2 linked regions of the Neurospora crassa OR74A genome follow. The main gene of each other region encodes a partner of the protein of the gene in region 2 in a complex. Links are inferred from orthologs where the notes say so. Each region holds a gene or a part of one and is shown on either strand. Other genes may lie near its edges.

The links.
Region 1: NCU08552 (region 2) and NCU07057 share a complex: the UniProt entries of both Schizosaccharomyces pombe proteins name them as parts of the mitochondrial large ribosomal subunit. The link is inferred for Neurospora crassa OR74A from reciprocal best matches to the Schizosaccharomyces pombe genes mrpl38 and mrpl27.

What each region holds. Positions count from the first base shown.
Region 1 is NC_026506.1:333,730-337,177, reverse strand, and holds NCU07057 (hypothetical protein), read right to left. Parts: upstream 2,076-3,448; 5' UTR 1,795-2,075; coding exon 1,606-1,794; intron 1,466-1,605; coding exon 1,343-1,465; 3' UTR 570-1,342; downstream 1-569. Other genes in the region: NCU17062 (hypothetical protein), read right to left, coding at 1-276; NCU07058 (small nucleolar ribonucleoprotein complex subunit Utp14), read left to right, coding at 2,503-3,448. UniProt on the Schizosaccharomyces pombe protein: Component of the mitochondrial ribosome (mitoribosome), a dedicated translation machinery responsible for the synthesis of mitochondrial genome-encoded proteins, including at least some of the essential transmembrane subunits of the mitochondrial respiratory chain.
Region 2 is NC_026503.1:4,951,365-4,954,764, forward strand, and holds NCU08552 (mitochondrial 54S ribosomal protein YmL38/YmL34), read right to left. Parts: upstream 2,179-3,400; 5' UTR 1,882-2,178; coding exon 1,867-1,881; intron 1,783-1,866; coding exon 1,698-1,782; intron 1,385-1,697; coding exon 1,089-1,384; 3' UTR 570-1,088; downstream 1-569. Other genes in the region: NCU08553 (DNA directed RNA polymerase II 15 kDa subunit), read left to right, coding at 20-109, 175-219. UniProt on the Schizosaccharomyces pombe protein: Component of the mitochondrial ribosome (mitoribosome), a dedicated translation machinery responsible for the synthesis of mitochondrial genome-encoded proteins, including at least some of the essential transmembrane subunits of the mitochondrial respiratory chain.

The sequences.
Region 1 (3,448 bases), on a different chromosome or scaffold from region 2:
AAGTAGGGAGTCCAGAAAGACCCTGCACAAGTGACAGCCCGCCCCTGCCGACTCGTGAAGGTCACAAATGCTGAAATCCCGCAGGTGCCAATCATCTTCGTCGGCAAGCACGGCGTCTTCCAGGTCCCAGAACCACGGCCCAGTCGTAGGGAACACTGCTTGGCAACCATCACAGAGCTTGTTAAGCTGCCTGGGGGGGTAGCGAGACTTCATGACGGGTTCCTCTGCCAAGGCATTGTCGATCGGTCCATGGTTGAAGTGGGCAGATGGTTTCATGGTGTTGGTTGATTATGATTAGGTCTGTTGTGGGATGGGCAGATGACATGTCAAGGTATCAAGTGAATGAGGAGAGGCTTGCAGCTTCAGGAAGAGCTGGGTGGCCAGGAGATTCAAGGGAAAGAAAGACCATAGACAAGTTCATGCAAAACAAATGGGATTGATGGGGCGCACTGGCGAGTTGGGGCGAACTTTCTCGACGGGATTCGCTCGTTTGAATTCGGTGATCCCTTTGTATGTCGTGAAACTTGAGCCGAAGGTGAATTGCTTCATGCCAGAGAAAGGTTCTTCTGGGAGGCGGTGGTTGCTTAGAATAAAGTAACTGAAGGTAAGGAAAGGAAGAAACCCGCGAAACTACCTCTAGGTAGAAATACCCCTCATTGCTAGGCACACAACGCACCTTCTCAAAGGCGACCAGGCAAAGGGCAAATAGAGGTTAGGCAACAATCAACAAGAGTGACCTAAGCCCTAACCCTATTAAAATCCCCGATCTCGCTCCCTCAATAATCTAACAACTGAAACAAGACCCCCTTGAATCTCGGACAGGGACCATTGGACACCTTTGGGTATAGTCATATAAATCGGCCTTGTCTCTTCTAGAAGAAAAGAAATGTGACGGCGAGATCATCGTGACATCAAAATTCAAAGAACCAATCCGAAAGGGGAGATGTATCGTAGGCAGCTCTGAAGGCGAGTGTTCTTTGAATACGTATGGTTAGCTATCAGGCTGTATCTCAATGGTAGGAATGTCGAGACCATCAGCCTAGGTAGCAGCGTGGCGACTCCAAAGGCAGAGAACCTGGACATGTTCCAATTTCACATATGACCCAGAACAGTGGAGCTGCTAGGTGGTTGATTCCTGGTGGTCAGGTCATATAATGTACAGTGGAGAGTGGCTCGTGGTCCTTCGAACGGGTCTGTGTCGGCAGGCTTTCGGAATGTAATCAGAACTTGGGTATATATTGCGTTTGGTAGTTTGATAGTTGAGTGAGCCTCGCTCCATTTCCTCGCCGTGGTCTGGTATCGTAATGTCCTCCTCCTCCCTCCTTGAAAAAATGACGACCGTTTAGTCGAGACCGTTCTCCGACTTCCAGCGAGCAAGGTAAGTGGCGGGGTTCTTGGGGCCGAGCTTGTCGCCGGGGAACTGGTCGTGGACGGGGCGGATGGTCTTGGAGACGAAGGGGGTGAGCTTTGTTGTTGTTGGATCTTGTTAGCATAATTCTTTTTTATTCTCTTTTGTCCTCCATTCTCGGTCCCTCCCCTAGCACCAGATCCCCCAACACATCCCATTCCAACCCCAAACCCGGACGGAAATAGAGGACCACCCACCTTGAAACCGGTCAGGTCCGGGCACACATAGGTGCGGACCTTGGTGTAGTCGATCTTGTAGGTACCGTAGCTGGTGTGCGTACCCATGGAACCGGTGCGGTTACCCTTGTAGAAACCCTTGTTGACGTCCTTGGTGGTCAGGCGCAACTTGCGGTACTTGAGACCTTGGAGGATGCGAGTGGGCTGCATGGTGGGCTAGGAGGATTGCGCTTTGCGGGGCAACGACGACGGAGAATTGCTTTTTGTGGTCGGTGATCTGGGTGGTGGAAGCACCTCGCTGTGGTGAGGGTGGTTGAGGTGGGCGCAAGTGGGACGGAGACGGGATCCGCTTTAGAGTGTTGAAGATCCGGCGCACGCGACAGGAACGGAGACGGGACTCGGACTCGGACTCGGACTGGCGCTGGACAACACGGACGGCGACGGGCAACGGGCGACGGGCGACGGGGTTGGAATCGAGAAATCGCAAAGACGTCCGGGGCCGCGCCGGGTTGAGGTGGAGCCATTTCAGAAGTTTGGAGCTCAATTGAGCCAATGACGTGAGGCTGGGAGAAACAGGTACCCCTGTAGCCTGCTGCGGCCCCGCAAAATGGGTGGGTGTTGCGCCCTCACCGCCCGAAAATTATCGATTACAGAGGCGGCAGAAAAAGTTTCGGGGGAGCTTGTTCACTGGCAGAAAGTTGAAGGCTTGGTGGGAGTTGCCGTTGAAGGGACCTGACCACTTCGACCTCCAGGACCCGTGCAGGCAAAAGTTGGACATTGACATCCATCGATTCATTCCATCCAACCACTGGACTTCGTCGACAATCTCATCACCCAATTTTTGCTTGCTCGACCTCGAACTTAATTGACTGAATTACCTTCCGACTTCCAATCAGTCAATTCTCAAATACCAGCAAAATGCCCGGCCGTCAAGCCCACGGCAGGCCTCTAATGCCCAAGTCGGGCGGCGGAGGGCGTCCCAAGCACAGAGTCAACAACAAGACTGCCGATAGGAAATCCAGAAACAACGTCCTCGACGCCTTCGCTATTGCCGCCGAACAAGTCCCCCAAAAGAAAGCCAAGGGCGTCCGCACACGAGACCTCGACGAGCCCGAAGAGCGCCCCCAGAAGAGACAACGAGATGGCGACGACGAAGACGATGAGGACGGAGACGAGGATGAGGAAGATCTCGAGGACGCCAGGCCACAAAAGAAGAAGGCCAAAAACAGCGACGATTTCGAAGGCTTCTCCGACGGTGGCGAGGACAGCGATGGCGAGGAGTGGCACGTTGGTGTAGGCGCTGATGACGAAGATTCCGAACTCGACTCTGATGAGGCCTTTGGTGAGAGCGACGAGGAAAAGTTCGATGGCTATGCCTTCAGCGGGAGCAGCTCCAACAAGAAGGGCAAGAAGGCGAAGAAGGGTGGAAACGACAGTGATGAGGAGGAAGAGGACGAAGATGAGGACGATGACTTGGAGTCGCTCGGTTCCGACGCCATCGATCTCGCCACAGCACTGGATCAGTATGAAAGCAGCGAGGAGGAGGAGGGCGAAGAGGAGTCAGGATCGGAAGACGACGCGGACAGCGAATCGAGCGAAAGCGAAGACAGTGACGACGATATGGAAGACCCTTCCAAGCTCGACGACCTCCAAAAGATGATCTCCGGGTTTGCGGGCGACGACAACGACGACGAGGAGCAATCAGGCTCGAAACCAACAAACAAACTCAGTCTCTCAGATCTCGGCCTCCTTGGCGTCCAGGACCCCCACATGAAGAAGTCTCTCAAGCTCATGAACAAGGAGGAAAAGGCCGCCAAGCCTGGGCAATCCAAGAAGCTCGACATCCCCCTCGCAAAGAGGCAAC
Region 2 (3,400 bases):
TCTTTCGTTTGCTATCTAGCTCCCAAGAGCCATCAAGGAATGCCCTGCCTGCCACCACCCGGAAGCTGTCTTCTTCCAGTCACAGCAGCGTACTTCGGAAACCGGAATGGTAAGACTCACTCACCTGCCTGGGAGGGGCTCACCAGAGTCATGGGTTAACAACGTTACTTTCAGAAACTTTTCTACGTCTGCTGCGATTGTGGTAATATTTACCAGTAGTGGGGGATTCACTCTTCACTCGGAAGGAATAGGGCCAGATCGATCCTTGTTATAGGCGGACAGGCGGGCGGTCGGAAAAAATCACAGGTTGATTAATAAAGATCAGGGGGTCATGATGAGTTGCATTACAGTGGCGTTTGTACACGGTTAACTCAAAAGGACCGCGGTTTAGGGCGTTTGGTTTTCTTTTTCATGCTTTGGCAGGACACTGGTTTAGAAATGGTCTTTCCATGAATCTCGTGGATAACGTTATAAACTGTTTCGTGTGATATGCAATGGTGATGTTGTTTTGCTTGACATGACATGTAATGTACAGTAGTATACACAGATTAGGACGGCACGCTTGATGTCCCGAACTGAAGTGACTGGTAAACCTAATCGACTGATGTGACGGCTGCTGCTGGCTGATCGTTACCCAAAATGGCGCTTGAAGAAAGGCCGTTCGATGAGACCATATTTTGGTGTGATGTCCGGTGTGTGAAGCCGTCGTACCTTGAGAACAACGTCGCAGTCTCAAACCCGTATACGCCAGGCCATCCCAAGTCCATCCTGGAAATCCGTAGACACACAAACCACAGTTCCGTCAGATATCAACAAAGTGATGTTCCGTAGCGCTCATCGTCAGTCATTACCTCAACACAGCCAACCCAAGCTGAGCCGACACCCAAACCCCCCACGAGAGTCACCAAGTCACCGCAATGACACATCCCACCGAGCATACTCCTCTTCACTTCAAGGAGCGTCACGCCACATCCCACCCCAACAAACTCAACTCTTTTTCTTTACGGGTATTCATATTTCATTCCATCTTGATTCTCCCGCTACATCCATCGTACATATATCCTCCCTGATCGATCAATCAAGCCTAGCTAAGCCTGCATAGGCGCCATACTCAATATCTTGCTCCACTTTTTCTTTCGCAGTTCCTGGCCCACCACACCATTGATGCGCGATCCGATCGGGTCGCCGGCCTTGTTGATCAAGACACAGGCGTTGTCGTCGAACCGGACGACCGAACCGTCGCGGCGCTGGACTTTTTGCTTGGTGCGCACTACCACGGCGTGGCGGATGTCGCCGCGCTTCACCTTGGTGGCGGCCGAAGAGGCGGCCATGCCGGCCGAGTCGGCGCCGCGCTGTTTTTGGACGACTACTACTATGCGGTCGCCTTTCTTCTGTTAGTTGAGGTATGAGGAGGGGAAAGAAGGGGGGAAAGAAGGGGGAGGGGGACAAGAGGGGGGAAAGAAGGGGGAGGGAGGAACAAGAGGGGCAAGAGGCAAGTATGATATGTGTATAAGACCAGATGTTCCTTGGTCGGACGAGAAGAATCGGACGGGATGGGACGGGTATGAACGGCGACGACGGTGTTGGTGTTGGGGTACGAAAGAGGGATCGGGTAGTTCGTGTAGATATGATATGCTCGAGTCGACGATGGGTTCGTGGGTGTATAACGGAAATCGAAAGGGAATTCGAAAGCATACCAATCGAAGCATGCCTCTTTTGGCCGACAACCATGGCGCATTCCACCAGGGCAGCACCCGAGTTGTCGATGCAGTTGAGCATCGTCTGTTTGCAGTTCGCATGGTTCGTTAGCAACCAAACTCTTTTTGCTTTCGTTCGACAGCAAGGGAAGAAGAAAAAAAAACAAACCTTTAGTTGAATCATCTTGGGCAACCGGTTACTCTGTCCCTGTTACCGAGCGAGTAGTGGCTGAAGTTAGTTGGCTGTCGAGAGGACCGAAACCCGGCAACTGAATGGGGATTCCACGGTTGACGCCGCGTATCGATCGATTGATTGATTGATTGATGACCGGCCGGCCGGCTGCTGTCCGTCGTGCCCGCCGGACGCGGGGACCCCATCGAAAATTGTTTGCGGGACGGGGATGCCAGGTTAGAGGTACGTACCCTGCATTAGGTAAGCAGGCTCCTAAGTAACGCGAGAAAAGAGAGAAGAAGGGGACGCGCCAAAACTTGGACGAAGAGTGTGGAGCCAGTCGGGAGGGGTGTCTCATGCATGCTCTTTACATAGCTGCTTTTTTGACTACACTAACGCTTTCGGGAAGTAGCTGTAGTTGAAGCTCTGAAAGTGTGAGAGTCTGAGGCATCAGCAACAGAACATGTGAGGACTCAATGACCGTAGTTGATGTTAAGAAGAGTTTAACAATGAGCACATTTTATGAGAAGTCATTATTGGACAATGAACTGTTGAATCGTCTGTATTTGTCAAGGAAGATAATGAGTGCGGCCATTCTGGACACAATCAGACAGCTAGCCCGGGCATGTACCATCTCAAGTCAGCTTGCAAACAGCTTGTCATAGTATCTCTACCCGACGACTCCAGAGGCAAGTTAGACAGCGATATACATACAGTACCCATCTCTGAAAGCGTACCCCAGATGATCGTTGAGACTCAAGTCGTCCATTGCTAGCAACATCCCCATCTGGTTAGAAACATTCCATCAGCCCTGACCCAAACCACCAATGACAACCTCGGCGCAACCAAGCTCCAGCCAGGATGGTGTCTCCCACTCTCCCCCAAGTCCCCGCTCCCCCGTCGGCTGATTCTCCAATTGTGTCTTTCGGAATTTGGCTAGACCACCGCTACCACGGCAACAGGTGGGATCGTGAAAAGAGGAGTAAAGAGGCGAAGATTTGCAATGCCGGGCCCCCTTTTGTTTTGTTTCTGCTCGTCCCCTTTTTCCCTGTTCTCCAATCGATTTGAGCAGTTTTACCTTGAGCTTCAGCTTATTCTCACCTCAGCTTCACTGCCACCAAACGGTTTGTTGCTGTTCTTCCTGTTACAGCTCCAGGTAAAATAGCAAGGCCCTCAAACAAGGCTATTGCCTCATATCCCTGCAGCCAAAAGCAAGAAGCCCGCACCACCTTGCAGTTTCCTCGCACTTTCACACTTGAGTTCAGGAATTCATAGACAGACAACAAGTACAAGAATACATATGACGGCAACCCGCCTCGCCGGACCACTCCAACTCCATTTCCCCCCGAGTCCGACCAACCACCAACAAGACTCGGACCGCAAAAGGACCCTCACCCAAGCTTGACCTCCATCCCCAGTCATTCCCACTCAGCTCTTCAGCTTTCTCAAGGGTTCGGCCGCCCGCCCGCCCTTCTTTGCAACCTCATTCGCGACCACGTCCTTGTCCTCCCGTCAACCACCACCCACAACA